Linked DNA regions of Oryctolagus cuniculus. The protein of the gene in region 1 interacts with the protein of each later gene in a pairwise test. Links are inferred from orthologs where the notes say so. Each region holds a gene or a part of one and is shown in the gene's direction. Other genes may lie near its edges. The genes, in order: UBE2E3, MUL1, RNF167, CNOT4 and RNF111.

What was found.
Region 2: the proteins of UBE2E3 (region 1) and MUL1 interact in a two-hybrid assay, tested with the Homo sapiens proteins (2 studies listed by BioGRID and IntAct). The link is inferred for Oryctolagus cuniculus from reciprocal best matches to the Homo sapiens genes UBE2E3 and MUL1.
Region 3: the proteins of UBE2E3 (region 1) and RNF167 interact in a two-hybrid assay, tested with the Homo sapiens proteins (2 studies listed by BioGRID and IntAct). The link is inferred for Oryctolagus cuniculus from reciprocal best matches to the Homo sapiens genes UBE2E3 and RNF167.
Region 4: the proteins of UBE2E3 (region 1) and CNOT4 interact in a two-hybrid assay, tested with the Homo sapiens proteins (3 studies listed by BioGRID and IntAct). The link is inferred for Oryctolagus cuniculus from reciprocal best matches to the Homo sapiens genes UBE2E3 and CNOT4.
Region 5: the proteins of UBE2E3 (region 1) and RNF111 interact in a two-hybrid assay, tested with the Homo sapiens proteins (2 studies listed by BioGRID and IntAct). The link is inferred for Oryctolagus cuniculus from reciprocal best matches to the Homo sapiens genes UBE2E3 and RNF111.

What each region holds. Positions count from the first base shown.
Region 1 is NC_091434.1:59,977,493-59,981,402, reverse strand, and holds the start of UBE2E3 (ubiquitin-conjugating enzyme E2 E3), read left to right. Parts: upstream 1-1,965; intron 1,966-2,393; 5' UTR 2,394-2,418; coding exon 2,419-2,612; intron 2,613-3,910. Other genes in the region: translation initiation factor IF-2, read right to left, coding at 264-1,214, 1,291-1,689. UniProt on the Homo sapiens protein: Accepts ubiquitin from the E1 complex and catalyzes its covalent attachment to other proteins. In vitro catalyzes 'Lys-11'- and 'Lys-48'-, as well as 'Lys-63'-linked polyubiquitination.
Region 2 is NC_091438.1:150,240,824-150,245,596, forward strand, and holds the start of MUL1 (mitochondrial ubiquitin ligase activator of NFKB 1), read left to right. Parts: upstream 1-1,637; 5' UTR 1,638-1,754; coding exon 1,755-1,874; intron 1,875-2,799; exon of another isoform or gene 2,800-2,972; coding exon of another isoform or gene 2,973-3,020; intron 3,021-4,773. UniProt on the Homo sapiens protein: Exhibits weak E3 ubiquitin-protein ligase activity. E3 ubiquitin ligases accept ubiquitin from an E2 ubiquitin-conjugating enzyme in the form of a thioester and then directly transfer the ubiquitin to targeted substrates.
Region 3 is NC_091448.1:51,300,486-51,305,216, reverse strand, and holds the start of RNF167 (E3 ubiquitin-protein ligase RNF167), read left to right. Parts: upstream 1-1,765; 5' UTR 1,766-1,902; intron 1,903-2,040; 5' UTR 2,041-2,458; coding exon 2,459-2,542; intron 2,543-2,626; coding exon 2,627-2,707; intron 2,708-3,508; coding exon 3,509-3,634; intron 3,635-3,744; coding exon 3,745-3,832; intron 3,833-4,015; coding exon 4,016-4,106; intron 4,107-4,266; coding exon 4,267-4,372; intron 4,373-4,495; coding exon 4,496-4,589; intron 4,590-4,731. Other genes in the region: SLC25A11 (mitochondrial 2-oxoglutarate/malate carrier protein), read right to left, coding at 336-542, 629-781, 1,347-1,441.
Region 4 is NC_091434.1:171,179,727-171,183,792, reverse strand, and holds part of CNOT4 (CCR4-NOT transcription complex subunit 4), read left to right. Parts: intron 1-3,031; coding exon 3,032-3,244; intron 3,245-3,940; coding exon 3,941-4,066. UniProt on the Homo sapiens protein: Has E3 ubiquitin ligase activity, promoting ubiquitination and degradation of target proteins. Involved in activation of the JAK/STAT pathway. Catalyzes ubiquitination of methylated RBM15.
Region 5 is NC_091443.1:81,954,162-81,958,227, forward strand, and holds part of RNF111 (E3 ubiquitin-protein ligase Arkadia), read left to right. Parts: intron 1-1,549; coding exon 1,550-1,642; intron 1,643-2,782; coding exon 2,783-2,878; intron 2,879-4,066. UniProt on the Homo sapiens protein: E3 ubiquitin-protein ligase. Required for mesoderm patterning during embryonic development. Acts as an enhancer of the transcriptional responses of the SMAD2/SMAD3 effectors, which are activated downstream of BMP.

The sequences.
Region 1 (3,910 bases):
GGCTACTTAGCGCCTGGGGCAAGCACCGCAGTGTCCACCTGCAGACTATGCAAGAAGCGTGGTGAAACAAAACCAACCTCCAATTATGCCCACCTAGAAGCTGGTCTGTGCAGAAGCACGCAGGGCTGCTCTTTCCAGAACTGGTGTCTCCCGTGAAAGGCAGAACGGTCCTGTGGGGAAGTGTCAGGTCTCAGGCACACCCTCTCCCTTCTTCCACTTTTTAACATCTTGAGCGGGACATTTAAAAAACTGCGTTGGATTTTTTAAGTTTTCAAAGCATCCGAAGGGCAGTCCCCTTTGGCAGCGACAGCTGCACGCTGAGAGCCACAAGAGAAGCAGAGGCTGGTCTCCCAGCCTAATGCCTTTCTGCCTCCTTCAACGCCCAGGACCCTACCTTGCCCCTGCCTCTGCTCACAGGAGGGGCAAGACGCAGCTCTCCCCGGTCCGCGAGCCCGGCTCGTCAACACCCATCCATCTCCGGGCTCCCGGAGCAGCAGGGGACTCCCCACCACGCGTCCAGGGCTGGCCTCGGCTACTGAGGACCCGAGGCGCACGGCCGCCCCCGCGCAGGTCCGAGGGATGTAGTCAAGCCCCGGGGAGGCGGGTAGCCCAATGGGCAGCCTCGCCCCGGAGGCGGGCCCAGGCCGGAAGCCACCCCGCGGCACGGCGGCCCCGCGAGACGGCGCTCGCGCCCCCGCCTCCTCCTGCACCGACTCCGCGGCCCAGGGCGGCAGGGGCCAGCCCGCCGGGTCCCCGCCGCGCTCTTTGTCCTGGCCGCGCGCGGGCGAACGCGTGCGCCCCCCCGGGTGAAGGGAGGTGCGGAGAGCGAGCGTGCGGGAGCGCGCGAGAACGGCTCGTGCCCGCCGGCGGCGCGCGCCCCTCCGCCAGGCAAGCAGCGAGCACGCGCGCCGCCGCCGCGCCCGCCCCTCCCCCCGCGCTCGCCTCGGAACTTGCTGACTGCGCGGCCGGGAGGAGCCGAGCCGGGCGGCGGCGGCGGCGGCGGCGGCGGGAGGCCACAGCGCGCGGGGGTCTCCCGCGTCCCCTCCGCCTCGCCGGGAGCTCGCGCCCTCGCCCAGGCGAGCTCCCACCCCCCACTTTTTCCCGAAGGCGCTGGGCGGCGCCACCCTCCGGCCGGAGCCCGGCACTGCACAACCCCCTCCGACTTTCAATGTTCCACACTCCCCGGCCAGAGCCTCCTCGGCTTCTTTTTTTCCCTCCCCCCCCTTTCCCCCCCCCCAGCTGCCTCCATTTCCTTAAGGAAGGGTTTTTTTCTCTCTCCCTCCCCCACACCGTAGCGGCGCGCGAGCGGGCCGGGCGGGCGGCCGAGGTAAGGCGGCGGGGCCGGGGGGCCGCGTGGGGGGCGGCCGGGGCGGCGGCGGCGGTGGGGGAGGGGGCGGGGGCGGGCAGCTTTGTTCGCGCCGGGCGCCCGCGCCGCCGGTGTCCGCGAGCCGCGGCGGGGCCGGCCGGGCCGCTCGCATCACTTGGCGCCCGGCGCGGCGAGCGCTGCCCGCGGCCCCCGCGCGGCCCTCCCCACAAAGGGCCGCGGAGCTGCGTGGCCGCCGCTGCCGCCGCCGCCGCCGCCGGCCCCGGCTCGCCTCGGCGGGCGCGGAAATTTGTTGCACTTCTTGGGGCTTTGTTTGTTTGTTTGTTTTGCCTCTGGGCTTTTTTTCCCCCCCCTCCTCTTCTCATTATTTTGGACAAAATGTCGGTCCGTGATGTAAAAATTGAGCGAGGGACCTTGGTGGCATTGGGAGCTTTGCAGAAGGTGCAGTTTGGATTCTGCTCTTCCCAGGATGGCAGCTCGGTCTTGGCCGGCTGAGTCTTCGCTGCTGGCCGTGGAGGCGGCTGGAGCAGCTCGTTAGTTGATTTTTAAAATTTTTTAAGTGTAGTGTTTGAAGGCTTTACGTGCACAGAGGAGGGGGGGGGGGATCGCCACGTTAAATAAGCATATGGGCGATTAACAGGGTATGTTTTCCTCTCGGGAGGGGAATTTGGTGGCTTTGACCAATGTCAGTGTGTAAATATTTAGACGTTATTAGTGACTTTTTCACATTTTTCAGCGAGATCTGTTATTTACAGCGTGTCATATGTTAAGTTTCCTGGCAGATCTGTCTCATGCCTTCTCAGAAAGTAGACAATTGATAGATTGTCCAAGGGGCTGGGGGAAAAATGTGAGTGGGTTTTCTAACTTGAGTCCGGTCAGTCCCTGCGTGCTGGTGTTGAGAGACACACATCACCTCCCCTGTAACCTTGGTGCACGGTGAGATAAGTGTGAACCCTCCTGGCGCTTTTTCATTAAAATACCATTTTAGGGGTCTCCCAGGAGGAGAGAATGCTGCTGGTTTATTTCCTAGAGCTAACCTTTCCTTCCCCTCCCTCCCTCTCTTCAAAAGTTTTCCAAGAGGTCACTTCACCAAGATGTCCAGTGATAGGCAGAGGTCCGACGATGAGAGCCCCAGCACCAGCAGTGGCAGTTCAGATGCGGACCAGAGAGACCCAGCCGCTCCAGAGCCTGAGGAACAAGAAGAAAGAAAACCTTCTGCCACCCAGCAGAAGAAGAACACCAAACTCTCTAGCAAAACCACTGCTAAGTTATCCACTAGTGCTAAAAGGTAATGTGTAAACCGAGGGGCGAGGGCACCCTCCGGCTGTCTTACAAATGGTCTGCTGCTTCTGTTGGTTTTACACACTACTGATAGTTGAGAAATACTTCACGACCAATTGGATTTGTACCTGAATGAGATGTCATTCTTCAGGAGGTGGTCGGATGAGCGACCTTGCTAGAATTGTACTTTTAAGCAAACTTACTGTGTACTCTGGTAACCTCAGTGAGAACGTCCTTGATTGGAGATTGGACTAGCATTCTGACAGATTAAGGAATTGGCAAGGAGAAATTTGGTGGACCCAGATGAGGTGGTACACAGGGGATGTTTCCTGTTGTGGGTCATACCTTCTATGGTGGAATTGATCAGCAGTGCTCCCCTTTCTGCAGCTGAATGATCAGAAATGATCACGTTGGATGGGAAACTTATAAATCCCAGGCCTTGGCTATGTATTTGAAAGCAGATTGAAAATTATGCCCTGAATCGATTTCACTTTTTCAAACAAGACTTTTACTTCTGCATCAAGGGTATAACTTTTGGTAGTTAAATGGTGGTTACCCCCTTCATCTTGTGAAGGCAAATGCAGTTGAAAAGTAGCCATTTCCATTTCAGGTGTCAGTTGCTAATTGGAAACTTTCATTGTCTTTGAAATTGTCATTGACTCCTCACTCAAACTCCTAGGTGTGCTTGACACACTAATATTCAACAGCAGGAGAAACATATTTTGTTGGGTGTAAGTGAAAGATCATTTGTTTCTTGTTGATTTCTATTTTCTATGAGGGGAAAACACTGCTTCTGTCAGTGAGACTCGGTCGGTAGCAGTAGTGGAGTGCCTTGTGGAACTGTAATTACACGTAAAATGTGTCTGCAGTATTAACCAGCAGTGACATTTTGATTTTTTGTTGTTGTTGACTACAACTAAAAGAAAAAGAAAATGCAAAAGCTGATCAAATAACTGCATTTTATAGTGATTCAGAAATGCTGTTTTTAATGGATATACACCTTTATTATATCAGTAACCAGGTTTTAATAACTTGAGAATATTTTATCAAATGGCTTCAATCTTGGATGTAATTTAAATCTGCAATTTATTGTAGTCTTGGAGAATATATTAAACACATTTTAAGTTTTGAAAGAGTCTTAAATTTGAAGAAAATCAGGGAACTACTTTTTGCCCTGCTTTTAACTCAAGGCTGTATATCTTATCCTCCCCCACACCCCCAAATTCATTACATTTCAGTGCTGTGTCTAAGATCAGGGAAAACAAATGGTTAAATAAGAATGCCAAATAGTCTTTGGAAGTTTTT
Region 2 (4,773 bases), on another chromosome or scaffold:
AGCTGAGACTTGAACTGGTGCTCTGGAATGGGGTGCCAGGGCTGCAAGTGGCAGGTTAGCTCATTACACCGCAACACCGGCCCAAGAAAAAGATTTCTATTTGATTCTAAGCATCTTAAAGGAATAGACTAGAAAAATAATGGATAACCAGCTGCTTTTATTTAAAGATTTATTTGAGGGGCCGATGCTGTGGTGCAGTGGGTTAACGCCCTGGCCTGAGGCACCGGCACTGGTTCAAGACTCGGCCGCTCCACTTCCCATCCAGCTCTCTGCTGTGGCCTGGGAAAGCAGCAGAAGATGGCCCAAGTCCTTGGGCCCCTGCACCTATGTGGGAGACCTGGAGGAAGCTCCTGACTCCTGGTTTCTGATTGGCACAGCTCTGGCTGTTGCGGCCAATTGGGGAGTGAACCATCGGATGGAAGACCTCTCTCTGTCTCTCCTCTCTCTGTGTAACTCTTTCAAATAAATAAAGAAATCTTAAAAAAAAAAAGAGATTTATTTGAAAGGCAGAGTTAGAGAGAGACAAAGAGACAGATCTTCCATCCACTGGTTCATTTCCCAAATGGCCCAATGCATTGTCAGAGCTGGGACAGGCCTATCCCAGGAGCCAGGAACTTAATCTGGGTCTCCCATGTGGGTACAGGGGCCCACTCACTTGGGCCATCCTCTGCTGCTTTCCCAGACACATTAGCAGGGAGCTGGATCCCCAGTAGAGCAGCCAGGCCAGGAACCAGCCACCATATGGGATACTAGAGTTGCAGGCTGAGGCTGAACCCACGGAGCCACAAAGCTGGCCCCCGGCTGCTTTTTAAAAAGTTATTTTACTTTTGTGGAGCGATCTCGTTTCTAGCCACGTTTTTACACTGACAGGTTTATTCCGCATTTCCAAGAACTGAAAGCACGCTTTGCGATGACCCAGGGAACAGAGTTGCAGGGTTCTGCAGATCTGCTTGCTAGGGAGCAGGTGCACTGCAGGTCCCACAGCGCCTCCGAGAAGGACCACCTGGGTCCGAAGCCCGCGCCCGGGCCGGCCCCTGCATCTGCAGTCTGCACTATCGCAGGGCTGCGAGGAGTCAGTGGAGGCCTAAGGCACTTTCCGTTCCGTACCTGACACAGAATAGGCACTCAGTAGATGCAATGCCAGCTACTTAATAACCAGTACTTTTCATTCGGTGATGGCCGAGAAGGGGCTACTTCAGCGGCATCATGAGGGCTCTGGAGTCGGGTCACCCCTAACCCCAGGAGGAGGACTCGGAGCACAGCCCCCAACCTCTCTGGCCTTAGCTTTCCCATCTGTAAAGCGGACAAGATAAAGTCCAGGCCTCAAAGTCTGTCCTCAGGTTTAAACGCATCGACACTCCTAAGTGCTTAACACACACTTCTCTTTCCTCCCAATCCAAGGGTGGAGACAGCGCACGACCCAAGAACTCCAGGAAACCACAGGGCTGGGACGAGTCAGTTATGGCCAGGACGCCGCGGGTGGACAGGACAACGGTCACGGCGCCGTGTGCCATCGCTCAGCCGCGAAAAACCGGCTCTCCACACCCGCGGGCCTCAAGAGCCCGGCGGTTGCCCTAGCAACGCCACTTCCGGGCCACTTTGCCCCACTTCCGGTTCCGGCGTTTACGTCATCGCCGGGCGACGGGGCGGGAAGTTCCGGGAAGGGCCGTCCCGGGGGGTGGTGTCCCAGGTGGAGGGCGGGGGTCAGCCGGTCACTCCTGGGCGTCGCTCTGCCCCCGGGGCTTGGCGCCGCCATGGAGAGCGGGGGGAAGCCCTCGCTGGGCCAGTTCATCCTCCTGGGCACCAGCTCGGTCGTCACCGCCGTGCTGTACTCGGTGTACCGGCAGAAGGCCCAGGTCTCCCGAGAGCTCAAGGTCAGTGCGGGAGCCGGCCGGGCCTCAGCCAGGTGGTCTCCGCCCCAGGTCGCGGTGAGGGCTGAGTTGGCGTGGGCCGCCCCGCGGCCGCAGGCTGGGGAGGAGCGAGGGCCGACGTCGGGGCGGTGAGAAGCGCCGCCCGGCTGCGTTTCTCCCAGGTGCCTTCACTCTGGAAGCTCGGCTTCGTTGCCTGGTTTTTAACACGTTTGTGGGGCTCGTGCCGTGCGCGGGGCAGTGAGCAGCCTCTCGCGGGGACGCCCGGCAGCGGCGCCGGGCGGCAGTAAACACGCACGCCACGTGGTGAGACGGGCGTGGAGGGCCGGAGGAAGCGACGTCTGAGCCCCGTGCAGGAGGGGGCGGAGGAGCGGCTCAGACAGGGGCCTGCGCCTGCTGCTGCGGGCCCTGCGTTTTATGTTAGAGTTTTGTGAAAGGCAGAGTTACAGAGAGGAAGTGAGAGGAGGAGATCTTCCCTCCGCGGGTTCACTCCAGAGTGGCCGCAGTGGCCAGGGCTTGGGCCAGACAGGAGCCAGGAGCTCCCTGGGAGGGGCGCGGACACCTGGGTCATCTCCGCTGCTTTCCCAGGCGCACTGGCAGGGAGCCGGGTCCGAAGTGGAGCAGCCGGGACTCCAGCCGGCGCCCCTGTAGGGAGCAGCTGAACCCGCTGGGCCGCAACGCTGGCCTCCCACAATAATTTTTTAAGGTAGATAAAATGATAATTGCCCTTAAATAGCAAAGCAGGGAGTTGAGGTTCAGGAAAAAGGTACTACAGTTAGACAGCTTGGAACTTTAAACCTCGGTTGTTTGATTCCAAAAGTGAGATTTTTATTTTTTCCAGTTGGCCACATTGCTTTATTGGGAATATCTGATTCTTCTAGAGACGGGTCTCTTAGGTCGGAGACAGGGTTTTCTCTCTTTCTTCTCTTAGGGGTTCTAGCTCCGGGCTTGGAGTGCAAGAAGAGTCTTGGGCCTGTATTGGCTGGAGCGCCTCAGTGCCGCAGCTGGGGCTTGACTGACACTTCATTATCATGGGCTGGATTCTGTGAGGGCTTGGAAACAAACGTGTGGCATCCCTGCGGAGAAGGGAGTTTGGGATCTGAAATGAACCAATTTACCAGGCGCTCAATTCGCTGTGCAAATGGCCCCCTGGTGAGATTCCAGCTGCCCTGTTCACCTAATTAAATGATCTAGTCACGCCTGAAGTGCTCGGCTCTTTCTGCCTCCCAAACCAGTGTCTCCTAGCAGTGGCTGGCTGTAGGTGCTTCGAAGGGAGAACCCTGCAGGTCCCATCTTTGGGTGACCCTAAAAGCTTTGCCAATTAGTTCCTGGATGAGCACGAGGTGGCCCCTTCCTGGAGAAAGTTCGGCCCCGACACTTGGGGCTCTGTTTTCTTGATCACATTGGAAAGCTGCCGAAGTAGGGTTTGTGTCTCAGCTGTGTGCCAGCCCCTAGGATCCAAGGTCACATAACCTGCATACAAATCCCAGGAGCTCGTGTTTCCCCCTCTTTTTCCGTTTTCACAACAGACTGGAGACAAGTTGCTCTAGAGCCCCCCCCCCCCCAGCCTGGAAGCCATGCTCGCCCCTCCCCTTTTAAAATCCTCCTCAGCCGCCCTGTGATGGATGCGAGCCATGTGACTCTGGCTTCTGTTCCCTTCTCAGTAATTAGGGATGACAATGGCTACCCTGGCAGGTGGCGTGGACGTCAGATCCTGCCTGTGTCGGCAGTGCCTGGGCTGTGGTGTAGCCAGGTGCTTGTTTAAGCACTGATTTATAGTCAAATATGGACCAGGTGCCTGCTGTGTGTCTGGCCTGTTGTTGGCACTAATGGGACAGCAGTGAACAAGACAAAGAGGTTAACAGTCCAGTGGAGGAGCTAAGTAATACTAAGTAATTGTTGCTGCTGTGTAGGTGCTAATGAAGTTTTTGTTGACTTTTCTCCTGCCATTCGCCGTGTAGCCATAGCTTCTTAAAGTCAGTGACTTTTAATATGTGTCCAGTAACTCTAACCTCTATAGAGGGCACTTACCTGCCTTCTCGAGACTTATTGAGGACAGGAATGTAGCATAGCAGTTGATGCCACTTGGGGTGCCTGCATCTCATACTTGAGTGCCTGGGGTGTTGTTTGTTTTATTTTAGTTTACTTGTAAAGGCTGAGAGAGAGAGAGATGGAGAGATGTCTTGCATCAGCTGGTTCCCTCCCCAGATGTCTGCAACGGCCAAGACTAGACCAGGCCCAAATCAGGAGCCTGGTGCTGGATCTCCATCTGTGTCTCCCCTGTGGGTGGCAGGGCCCAAGCCCTTGAGCCGTCATCTGCTGCTTCCCAGCATGCATTAGCAGGCGTGTTGGATTGGAAGTGGAGTAGCCTTAACCTGAACCGGTGCTGTGGTGTGGGGTGCGGGCATCCTTAGCGGGGTCTTAACCTGCCGAGCCACAGCAGCTGCCCTGGTTTAGGTGATTTTACCTAAGCTGTTGTGCCATAGCTCTTTGTTGTCAAGAAGAGACTGAGTGGTGACCAGTGCGCAGTATGCAGACTGACGGTGCCTTTTATGTTTTGAGTGTATGTTTTAGTTACTGGGTGGCACAACGTTCCCCATGGTGGGGTGTGCAGGAAGGAGGCTGCCTGTGCCTGTGTGTGTGACAGCTCTCTGCAGGGCTTTGAAATTACATTCTCCACCTATGCCCAGTTTCCTCATTCTCTCAACATGGAAACAGTAGCAAAAAATGCCCCAAGTACTTGAGCCCCTGCCAGCCACGTGGGAGACCTGAATGGAATTACAGGCATCTGGCTTTGGCCTGGTCTGTTGTGACCATCTGGGGAGTGAACCAATAATGGAAGATATCTTTCTGTCTCTCCCTCCGGCTCTGTCACTCTGCCTGTCAAATAAAATTAATCTTTTTT
Region 3 (4,731 bases), on another chromosome or scaffold:
CCTGCAACTCCTCTATCAGCGCCGGTTCAAGTTGCAGCTGCTCCACTTCTGATGCCCCTAGGAAAAGCAGTGGAAGACGGCCCAAGCCCTGGGGGCCCTGCCCCAATGTGGGACACCCGGTGAAGCTCCTGGCTCTGGCCTGGCCCAGCCCTGGCCATTGCAGCCATCTGGGGAGTGAACCAGCAGATGGAAGCTCTTGCTCTCCCTATCTTTCTCTCTCTCTCTGTAACTCTGCCTTTCAAATAAATAAGTCTTAAAAAGAAAAAGAAAAGCAAGTCATTTCATTCTAGATCCCGGGGATCGGGGCTGAGGTCAGGCTCCGAGTTGGAACTCACCGGCCATCGGCAGTCATGCGGATCAGAGCCACCTCCGCTGGTGTTCCCACAAAAGCACCAGTTGCACCTGCGGTCATGCCAATCACAGCCTTTAGCAGAAAGCCAGGGGGTGTCCCATCAGCCCCAGTCAGGCGCTCAAACAGCACGGTATAGATGCCAAGACGAGTAGTGGTGTAGGTGGCCTGGCGCAGCAGGCCAGCTGACAGCCTGGAGAGCAGAGGGGTCAGTGTGTGGGGCCAAGGCTTGCATCTGCCAAACCCACACCCTCCCCCCAACCTTGGAGGCCCCAGTACCCGGTGTAAATGCCCCTTATCCCTTCCGCCTTCAGGATGCTGGTAAGGGCATGGAAGCTGGTTTTGTACTCTTTGGTCTTGGCACCTTCCCCGCTCAGCTGCATCCGGTTCTTCACCAGGTCCAGGGGCTGCACAAAAACCGTAGCTCCCATCCTGGAGGAAGGTGGGAGCAGGGTCAAGGGCCACGTGTGCAAGATCTCCCGCTGCCTACTGCAGCCTAGCACAAGGGGTTACTAAGGTCAGGGCCTGCCTCGGATTAGGGATTAAGGAGGGCTGGTAGGCATGTGTCTGACAGTCTCTGTGTGTACCAACAGCAGCGGGTTCTGGAAAGTCCATTGTCCATTAGGGGTCATGCAATGAAACTACTCCAAGCAGATCCACGGGAGTCCATCGGTGGGCCCGGTGGGCCGGGACCGCATGCAGTGCGACCCAGGGAGCGGGCCAAGGGCGTATCCACGACCTGGGGCACTAAGTAGTCCCCTAGAGTCATGGAACCCTAAACAGCCCTGCGGAACCAAGCAACGGACTGGGGAGGTGCGGGGTGGGGGATCGTGCCAAGACCCTGCATGCAGTCAGGGGCAGCCCATCAGGAACCTCCCAACACGCTGGGGATCGCGCTGACCCTCAAGCAGGCTCAGTTCACTGAAACAGTCCCAGAGATGAACCGGGCCCGTCCGTCCCTTCCTCCTCCTTTCCCATCCCTGGGGCCTGAGCTTACCCGGCCAGGCCCCCAAACAGGAACTTGACGGACTTAGGGGAGGTACGGGGCTTCCCGTCCATCCCGCCGGCCCCGGGACTCGCCGTCGCCGCCATCGCCACTCAATGGCCCTGGCTCCGGGTCCCGAGAGCGCGCGGCCCCGCTCGCGCCCAAGGTGACACCGCGCGCGCAACAGGGCGAGGGCGCGCGCGCACGCCCCTCCGGCTCCCAGGTCCAGCACCAGCTGCAAGCCGGCGCCCGCGCAGGCGCAAAGCGCAAAGGCCGCCGGGAGTAAGGCGACCCTGAAGGAGGAGCTTAAAGGCTGCGTGCGGGAAGGGGCGTGGCTTGGTTGGAAACTGGCGTATAGGCACAGTCTTCACCGACTTGGAATCGCGGGAAACTAGACAAGCTGTTCGAGGTCTCGCGAGATCTAGTCAGTCCGGCTCCCAGAGTTAGGAGGGCTCTCGCGATATGTAGAGCAAGCTTTCGGCAGCCGTGGGGGCGGGGGAGTGGGCTGGTAAGCCTTCTCGCGAGACTTGCAGGTGCGGCGGCAGCGGCGGCCACAGGGAGCGGAGAGGTTTGTAAACAGGGAAGCCCCAGGTTCCCGGGCACTAAGGGGGAAATGATTCGCTCTTCTTCTGGGGGGCAGCCGTGCGCCCTCCGTTTCCACAGACAATCCCTCCATCTCTAATTTTTCTCTTAACCGGCCTTTCAGGACCGGAAGTCCTTCATCTTGAGCGGCCAATGCTGGAAGCGGCCTGACTCTTTGTCGGAAACCTTTTTCCCAGGGATAGGAAGACGGCCCACCTGGCCGGAAGTCCCACCTCCCGGGGCTCCCCCACCCTTCCAGAAGTTTTGCTGTCACCTGTGTTTCCTTCCGTCCCCTCTCCCCGTTTTGTCCCCAATCCAGAAAAGGGTCCATTTAGAGTCTCCGACCCAGCTCCGCTAAACGGGCTTGGGGCCTCGCTCCCCGGGTCGGGGTTCCTTCCCCGGCGCCCCCATGTAGCTGGGAAGTGGGACCTGGGGGTGGTTGGACCCCTGGGATCCTGAGGGAGCGGCGGGGAGGGCGCAGAGCCCCGCTTCTGCTTCTGCTCCCGGGCCGCGGCCTCCTCGGCCTCTCCCCGCCCGCTGCCATGCACCGCGCGGCCTTCCCGCTTCCTGTGGTTGTGGCCGCCGTGCTGTGGGGAGCAGCCCCCATCCGGGGCCTCATCCGAGCGGTGAGTCTGTGGGGCGGGTGGAGGAAGGGCGCCGGAGGGGGGCGTTGCGGGCCGGAGGGGAACGTGGACGTTTTGTGCCCCCAGACCTCGGAGCACAATGCCAGCATGGACTTTGCAGACCTGCCAGCTCTGTTTGGGGCCTCCCTGAGCCAGGAGGGACTCCAGGTGATTGGCGTTCTTTTTTTTTTTTTTTTCCCCTCCCCTCTTTGTCCAAATCCTCCATCCTGGGCGGGGTTGAGGAGCCATGCCCCGGGTCTGGCTGGGGATAGTTAGAGTCCGGTTAGGATCGAAGTGCGTGAACATGCGTGGAATCCAGAATCTAGGGGAAGAAGACAGTGCCCACTCTCCACTCTGGGCTTACCCGGAGACTGCAAAGGCGATGACTGGCGCTCAGCAGTAGGGTCCCCAGCCAGCTATTGGTCGCATGACCTTCGATATCATCTCTCTGAGCCTTTGATTACTGCGAAGTGGGGTGATCATGGAAGTTACTTCAGAGTTACCGTGATTACAATTAGATAAGTTAAATTAGTGACAATTGGATAAGCGGCGTTGCAGGACTTTATTGCCAGGGCTGCCACATAGCAGCTCTCGGTGGGCTGCAGATTTGGGTGTAGATGGGTAGTTGGGAAACTGACTGAAGGGAGGGCAGTGTGGACTGGAGCTGCGAATGTAAAACAATTTAGGAAAACGTGGCTGCGTAGAGAATGGAATTACAATCTGTGGGGAAGCTGAATCTGCGGGACTGCGTCAGTGTAGGTATGGCGTGCAGGCAGGCGACCTGGGACGGGAGAGGCAGCTGTTTGATGTGGCTGCACTTTCAGGAGGCTGAGGGAGGAGACAGACTCTGGTTTGGGTGGGGTGCCGAGACCCAGGAGTGAGAAGGAAGTGAGGACAGAGGCTGTGTGGTATGGGGGGGCCAGAACCTAGAGAGGAGAAACCTAACTGTCATCTGCCTCTCTCCCGCAGGGGTTCCTTGTGGAGGCTCACCCAGACAATGCCTGCAGCCCCATTGCCCCACCACCCCCAGCCCCGGTCAATGGGTCAGTCTTTATTGCACTGCTTCGAAGATTCGACTGCAACTTTGACCTCAAGGTTGCTGAACGTGGAGTGGGAGCTGGGAAGCTAAGGGTGAAAAAGAGTGGACCAGAAATGAAGCAAGGCAAGGCCCATGATGGCTCCCTACCCCTGCCTTGTTTCGCTAGGTCCTGAATGCACAGAAGGCCGGGTACGGGGCAGCCGTGGTGCACAACGTGAATTCCAACGAACTTCTGAACATGGTGTGGAACAGTGGTAAGTGGGTGGCTCTGCGAGGCGGGGTTTGTCGGAGAGCTGACAGAGCTGGTGGGAGGGCTGACGGCTCAGGCCAAAGCAGCCAGTATTTTGGGTGGGAGGGGACAGACGCGTCAGCCGGCAGGGCTCCCCGAGGGCCTGAGAAGTGGAGGGTGAGCCCCCCCAACAGCGTGCTCCTTGCAGAGGAAATCCAGCAGCAGATCTGGATCCCGTCAGTGTTCATCGGGGAGAGGAGCTCCGAGTACCTGCGCGCCCTCTTTGTCTATGAGAAGGGGTAGGACACGCGCCTCCCTCCCTCTCCTCCTGGCCCCCAGCACTCAGCTCAGGTCACTCCTGCCCCGCCCCGCCCCGTGGCCGCAGCACCAGTTACTCTGTCCTGTGTGCTTTGTCCTCCGGCCTTTCTTGCCCCTGTGACACTGTTGTCCCTTCCCTAGGGCTCGGGTGCTTCTGGTTCCAGACAACAGCTTCCCTCTGGGCTATTACCTCATCCCGTTCACCGGGATTGTGGGACTGCTGGTTTTGGCCATGGGAGCGGTGATGGTGAGTAGCTCAGGGGACATGATAGGAAGAGCTGGACTTAGGAACCCAGATTGGAACTGGAGGCAGAGTTCACACTTGTCCGGTTTTCTTCTGAGTCTGATCCGTCCACCTCCCTTCCCCCAGATAGTTCGTTGTATCCAGCACCGGAAACGGCTCCAGCGAAATCGACTCACCAAAGAGCAGCTGAGACAGATTCCTACGCATGATTATCAGAAGGGTAAGGGCCGAGGGGAGAGGAGAGCCATTTTCAGAGCTTACCTGGTTCTGAGTTTGACGTGGGCGATGAGGAGTGAAAAAGATGGCAGTGAGAGGGCCTCAACTGGAGGTGCCACCTTTCTCTTTACCCAGAAAATCAGTGG
Region 4 (4,066 bases), about 110 Mb from region 1:
GCGAGCTTCCATTCATTGATTCACTTCCCAAGTGGCTACAACAACCAGATCTGGACCAGGCAGAAATCAGGAGCCAGGAATTCCATCCTGGTCTCCCATGTGTATGCAAGGGCCCAATTCCTTGGACCATCTTCCACTGCCTTCCCAGTAGCATTAGCCAGAAGCTGGCTTGGAAGTATGGAGTAGCTGGTACTCAAACCAGCACTATGATATGGGATGTTGACGTCACCAGTGGCGGCTAAACCTGTTGCACCAAGCAGTGGCCCCTGCATAGGCTTGCTTCTTTCTCTTCTTTTTCTCTTTCCTTCCTTCCCTCCCTGTCTTCCTGTCTCTACCCCTCCCTCTCCCTCTCCCTCTCCCTCTCCCTCTCCCTCTCCCTCTCCCTCTCCCTCTCCCTCTCCCTCTCCCTCTCTCTCTCTCTCCTTAGTTAGTTATTTACTTACTTACTTGAAAGAGTTACAGAGACAGAGAGAGAGAGAGAGATCTCCCATCTGCTGGTTCATTCCCCAGATGGTCGCAACAGTCACGGCTGGATTATGTAGAAGACAGGATCTTATCCAGTCTCCCATGTGGGTGGCAGGGGCCAAGCAGTTGGGTCATCTGCTGCTGCTTTTCCAGGACCATTACCAGGGATCAAGATGGGAAATGAAGCAGCTGGGACTCAAATCAGAATCATAGGCAGCAATTTTACCTTCTATGCCATAATGCCAGCCCCCTTTCTTTCTTTATTCTTTTTAAATATTTTTTTGTTTGAAAGCCAGAGTGACAGAGATAGGGAGAGGCAGAGAGAAAGAGATCTTCCTTTAACTGGTTCACTTGCCAAATGGCCACAGTGGCCTGGGTTGGGCCAGGCTGAAGCCCAGAACTCCATCCAAGTTTCCCACATGAGTGGCAGGGGCTCAGGTACTTGAACTGTCTTCCACTGCTTTGCGAGGTGCATTAGCAGGTGAACTGGGTCAGAAACAGAGCAGCCAGGAGTTGAATCAGTGCTCCCACATGGGATGCCAGCATCTTCCGTAACAGCTTACCCTTACGCTGCACCACAGTGCTGGTCCCTGTGTGGATTCTTTTTAATGACTGTGGCCACATACTTCAAGAACACTTGTCTTCCTGAAAGTTTTTTCATATAGTTATACATCCTTTTTTTTTTTAATTTCAGGGGAATTTCATGTCCCTTCTTTGAAATTTCCCTTCTTTAGAGTTCACTTTTTGATTAATTAGAAACCATTTTAAGTTGTTCAACCTGGTGATATGACTACTTCAAAGATTAGAATTTGCCCTGGACACCAAGCCTTCCTGTAAATGAGGGTATTCTAGGACTTCCATTTGTCACTGTGATCTCATTTGTGTCTTGTGCAGTTAGGGAGCCAAAGGGAAATTCTAATGATCTTATTTTTGATTCGAATTTTTTTTTCTTGGTTGCAAAATGACCAGTTTTCCTGCCAACCATAGCTAATGGACATAATGTAATTATTCTGTGTTTTTTGTCTCATAGGTTGCAGGTTTTCCCTTACATATTTGACCCATTTAAAAAAATCCTCGATTAGTTTACACAAAGAAGATCAACATAGAGAGTTTGGTACTACTTTAACAAAGAGTCTTTAGATAGAATCTTGATTCATTCTTTCAGTAATAAGTCCTGTGAAATTGGATAAATTATGTTGCAGTCTGTTTTTTTTTTTTTTCTATAAAATGCAGATTATTCCTCCTCCTCTGCCTACCCCACAGGGCTGTTGTGGGGATAATGAAGTAATTGGCTGTGAAGTGCCTTGACAAATGTTACAGCACTACAAATGTAAAATAGCATGGAAATTTAAGAAGGGTGAGGTTTAGTAAATTATATCAGTTGTGAAAAGATGTTTGAAGAATATTTCCCCTTTTGTCTTGTTTGTAAAGTGTAAGGTACTTCTTCTTCATCTTAGTAACCTCAGAGATGGCTTTCATCGGATTTGGTTGTAGTTTTTGGTCTTTTTATAAATAAGGTTAGTCAAGTTAAAGGTTCATTTGCATGATGTAATGTGGCACAGAGCAGTGACTGATACAAAGCAAAATTATAGAAAGAAAATTCCAAATTCACCAGATCAGACAGACTGTGCCTCATAGAACATCATTATCATCGCCATCCTCATTATCATCCTCAATTCTGTAGAGCCAAAAATATTTTTCCTTTTTTTTTTTTTTTTTTTTTTCAAAAACTCCAGTTGGTAATTTGGCCTGTGTTCTTATATTCTAAGCAGTTGTTAGGCTTACCTATGGTGGTAGATCAGGTTAGTCACAATTTCTATAAAGTCTGTTCATTGATAGTGTCTTTTATTTGATGTAACTCATAACTGGATCCAGAAAATTGTAGGAGCCCAGGAGTCAGGTGTTGAATGATAGGCAGAACTGTTGGAGGGCAGTAGGCAGACTGTATTGGAAATTATTCTAAGAGATGTCTTAGCCCCCTGCCTCTTGGCACTACCAGGAAAATGTTCTTTTCAAACTCAGAGAAGCCTGTTCATTACCGTCCTTCACCTCTAAAAAACATTTATATCATTTTATAATCAGAAGAACTTAATCATTTTTCTTTTCCTACTGACTGTGTTTATCCTTCAGAAAATGACTTTTCCATTCAGCGGGCTCAGAAATAGGCTCCTGTAGTGAACTTGGCAGACTTGCGTTTTTCGTAGCGCTCAGCTGGCCAGATGCCTCACTGACACACTTCCTAATGTGGCATCGATCAGATTGTGCTCCCGAGCACTGAGTCTGTACACTGGACTGTGACGTGCACACACGCAATGGTGAAGCTGCTCGAGACAGATGAGAAACTCCTTGTCCTGCCCCTAAAGCAAGTTTTCTCACTTACTTCGGGGGCTCTGAGCTCACGAGCAGAATCCTAACCACGTTTATCTTGCTAGGACAACTTATTTTAAATGCTCAGTAAAGAAAGAGTAAATCTTCTCCCGCTTAACCACTAAAGAACAACACATGTTTCTAACGTCAGCTTTTTATTTTTTTTTTATCTTTCATTTTTTGTTGGTAAATCTCCCAGACAACAGCAGTTCTGTAGAGAGTTTAAATATGAAGGAATGGCAGGACGGGCTAAGGGCACTTCTACCCAACATTAACATCAACTTTGGTGGACTGCCCAATTCTTCTTCCCCCTCCAACGCCAACCACAGTGCACCAACGTCCAACACTGCCACCACCGAAAGCCTGAGTTGGGACAGCCCTGGCAGCTGGACAGACCCAGCCATCATCACAGGTAACTCTCTCACTCCCTTCAGCTCCACTCACTGCCATCGATTTGGTTTTTAGCACAGATTATATTAAGACAGAAGTCTCTTCAACAAAAGTTTCTCTTTACAAAGTCACGAACGTGGGGTGCTTGTCTCATTCTCAGAGGTCATGCAGTCTTGGTGAACCTATCAGCCTAGTCCTGTCCTAAGGCATTGGGTGCCTCATTTGCTTCTTTTGGTCTAAGTAGGTGTTAATGTCTGGCAGCATGCGTGTATTTTGTAGGCCTCAAAGTGCAAAAGGATCTGATTTTAGCCTTCTTATAAGGAACATACTCCACTTTTTTTTTTCTTTTAAATAAAGCTCTCTATTATAAGGCTATCTTGTTGATGTATCCCTGTTAGAGAAGGAAAAGCATGATTGGGAAGTACCACCTTCGGGGTAATCATTTGCAGCTCCGCCTCTGTGACACTGGGGGACTAAGTTTGTGTAGTTGAAGTCAAGGGTTCATGTGACAGTAAATCGTGGTCGTTGTGGCTGGGAGGATGAAAGGAGCATAAGGTTTAAAAGATCTTACGTGGAAGGGGTTGAAGGTCATAATTTCCTTGGGGTTCCTTCTTGGAGAAACTAACCCCTTTTGTTTTTTTCTAAATTTTTTCGGCAAACTTATTCCTTCTGCACAAACTCACCATTTTTCCTCTTTGTTTTCTTTTCTCTCCTTTAGGTATTCCAGCATCTTCAGGAAACAGTTTAGACTCTCTTCAAGACGACAATCCTCCACACTGGCTAAAATCCCTTCAGGCCCTCACAGAGATGGACGGCCCCAGTGCTGCTCCGTCGCAGACGCACC
Region 5 (4,066 bases), on another chromosome or scaffold:
AGAGCTGGCCTGGAAGAGGGGCAACTGGGACAGAATCCGGCGCCCCGACCGGGACTAGAACCCGGTGTGCCGGCGCCGCTAGGCGGAGGATTAGCCTAGTGAGCCGCGGCGCCGGCCTTTTTTTTTTTTTTTTTTTTTTTAAGATTTATTTACTTATTTCAAAGGCAGAGATACAGGGAGAAAGAGAGATATCTTCCATTCTTTGGTTCACTCCCCAAATGGCCTCAATGGCTGGGGCTCCTCCAGAAGCTGAAAGCTTCTTCTGGGTCTCCCACGTGGGTGCAGGGGCCCAAGCACTTGGACCATCTTCTTCTGCCTTCCCAGCTGCATTATCAGGGAGCTGGTCGGAAATGAGCAGCTGGGACTTGAACTGGCGCCCATGTGGCATGTCTGCACGGCAGGTGGAGGCTTAGCTTTCTAAACTGCAGCACTGGCACGAAGACTATTATCTTGAGGTTGAGTTTTGTTGGAAAATTCTGTGCATTTTTATCTATTGATAAGATCACGGGCCAGTGCCGTGGCTCAATAGGCTAATCCTCCACCTAGCGGCGCCAGCACACCGGGTTCTAGTCCTGGTCGGGGCACCGGATTCTGTCCCGGTTGCCCCTCTTCCAGGCCCACTCTCTGCTGTGGCCCAGGAGTGCAGTGGAGGATGGCCCAAGTGCTTGGACTCTGCACCCCATGGGAGACCAGGAAAAGCACCTGGCTCCTGCCGTCGGATCAGCGCAGTGCGCCGGCTGTAGTGCACCAGCCGCGGCGGCCATTGGAGGGTGAACCAACGGCAAAGGAAGACCTTTCTCTCTGTCTCTCTCTCACTATCCACTCTGCCTGTCAAAAAAAAAAAATAATAATAAGGTCATATAATTTTCCTCTTGAAGTTTGAGGTACCAAGAGCATCAGGATTATGTGAGAGTGTTTGCTACATAGGATTCTTTATGTAAATCAGGAAATCTTTATTTCATGAAACAACTGTTTTTTTTTTCTATTCTGATCATATTGTTAGTGTTATGAGAGGTTTTTTTTTTTAGAGATTTATTTATTTGAGGGACAGAGTTACATAGAGGTGGAGGAAGGGAGGGACGGAGAGAGGGGAGGGGAGAGAGAGAGGGAGAGGGGTCTTCCATCCACTCTTCCATCCACTGGTTCACTCCCCAGATGGCCACAACAGCTGGAGCTGGGCTGGTCTGAAGCCAGGAGTCAGGAGCTTCTGTGTATCCCACACGTGTGCAGGGGCCCAAGGACTTGCCTCATCTTCCACTGCTTCCCAGGCCATAGCAGAGAGCTGGATTGGAAGTGGAGCACCTGGGACTAGAACTGGTACCCATATGGGATGCTGGCACTGCAGGTGGTGGCTTTACCTGCTACACCAGTGCCAGCCCCACTACTGAATGCTTAGTTGTACTTATGTGTATTTACTAAGGTTGATTGAATTTTTGAGTACTTGGAGAGCAATGAATATCTTGAATTATTCAGTGTTAATAGTCAGTTACACATCTGTTCTTAACTGATTTAGTCTGTCTTTTTTTTTTTTTTTTTTTTATTAAAACAGGTTCCTGACATGGCAGGCTATCCTCATATCCGTTACATTTCATCAGGATTGGATGGAACATCATTCAGAGGTCCTTTCAGGGGCAATTTTGAGGTATGTAATAAGTGAAGATATGTATCACAGTATTTTCAGTGCAGAAGAATATATATATAGATATGTTGCTAGTATTCATAATTACGTAGGACTAATACAATGACTGGGAATCATGAAGCAGTAAAATGTACCATTTTCTGATATTGCTTCTGGGGTTATAGAAAATTTGATAGGAAACATTAATCTTAGGTTAAAAAGTATTTAAAGAATAAATTAAAATATCTAAATATAAAGATATATTAAATCAGTATAAAAATAGTGAACAATATAATTTAATGTATGGGGAAAACCTTGATGCTTTTTTTTTTCTGGTTTTAATGATTTATTTATTTCGGGACAGGCATTGTGGTATATTGGGTAAAGCTTCTGCTTACAGTGCCAGCATCCCATGAGTGTTTTCAAATAAATAAATCTGCAGAATTACAAAGAGAGAGACAGATCTTCCATCCTGTGGTTCACTCCCCAAATGACCACAAGGGCTAAGGCTGCACCAGACCAAAGCGAGGAGCTCCCACATGGGTGCAGGGGCTCAAGCACTTGGGCCAACTTCCACTGCATTCCTAGGCATATTAGCAGGAAGGTGCATCAGACATGGAGTAGCCAGCATTGGAACTGGGTCCCATACAGTGTGCCAGTATTGTAGGCAGCGGCTCAACCTGCTGCACCACAAAGCCAGCCCCAAACCTTTGCCTTTGCCTGAGCTTAATTTTTAGTGAAACATTGCTGGAGACAAAAATAGCTTAAATAATTTACTTTGTAGCTAAATATTTCAAGTCCTTGTTTCTTCATGTTAGTTTAGAAATTACAGTTGATATGATTTATGAAAATTGTTTAATTTGCTTCCCTAATTTGCTAGAATGAATGATTTCTTCTACATGTGTACAAACTTACTGATTTTGTAATACCATGTGGTAATACTTATATTGTTACCCAAATTTATAAGGATGACTTTGTGAAACTACTTCAGGTGGCTGAGCAAAAAATTTTGAAACCATCATTTGCTATACCATATATAAGAACTGTTGTGTAAACAAACTGTTACCTTGTCAAATGTAAGATTATTACTCCTGTACAGTATTGACAACATTGTTTAAAATATTATCGTCCTGGCTTTTAATCGTAGTTACCCTTCCCTTTCAGGAACTGATTCATTTGGAAGAAAGATTAGGAAATGTCAATCGTGGAGCATCCCAGGGGACAATTGAAAGATGTACATATCCCCATAAATATAAAAAGGTAAGAAATTATTCCATGAAACTTCTAGAATATTATTGAAATGTGTAACGTTCAGTATTATGGCTTTCCGTTGAACTTGTGGAACCTAGTAGATATGTTATTTATTTACTTACTTATTTTTAAAGATTTATTTATTTGAGAGGCAGAGTTACAGAGAGACAGAGAGCAGTCTTCTATCCACTGCTTCACTCCTCAAATGGCTGCAACAGCCAGAGCTGGACCAATCTGATGCCAGGAGCCAGGAGCTTCTTCCAGGTCTCCCACATGGGTGCAGCAGCTCAAGCACTTGGGCCATCTTCCACTGCTTTCCCAGCTATTAACAGAGAGCTTGATCAGAAGTGGAGCAGTCAGGATACTTACCGGCTCCTATATGGAATGCTGGCACTCTCTGTTATTACTGAAGCAAAATATACTTAGGATTAACATTTTCTTGGAAGTACAGAAATAAATTCTTCTTCCAGAATTTTTGTGCCTTCTATAATGTACACACACACACACACATATATTTCTTTTGCATTAAAACATAATACAAAGAGGATGATGTGCAGATAGTTTTGTATGTTGCCTTTGTATTCTGTCAGTACTCAGCTCACCTATATATTTTTTTTTCAAGATTTATTTACTTATTTGAAAGAGTTACAGAGAAAGGGAGAGAGAGAGATAGTCCAGGCACTTGGTTAACTCCCCAGATGGCTACAACAGCTGGGTCTGGGTGAGGCCGAAGCCATGAGCCAGGAGCCTTCTGCAGGTCTCCCATAGGGTAGCAGTGACACAAGCAGTTGGGTCATCCTCTGCTGTTTTTCCCAGGCCTGTAGCAGGGGGCTGGATCCAAAGTGGAGCAGCCAAGACTTGGACTGGCACCCCTAATGGGATGCTGGCACTGCAGGCCACAGCTTTACCTACTAAGCCACAGCTACATTCTTCTTAATAGTTTACATCATGACAATACTGTAATTTTTTTTTTTTTTAAGTAATCACTTACCTTGATGGATATTTAGTTGCTCTATAATTCTAATATTTCCTTCCTTGGAAGTTAAGAGTAGACATGTCAAATAAGTTTCTTAAATGATGCTCTGTGCTATACAGAGAATAATATTAAGGTGTAAAAATGACTCTTCTTTATATTTTTCATCTGTTTATAAGAGTATTAGTGAAGTGTTGCAACTAAATTTAAGTTCTTTCAACTGT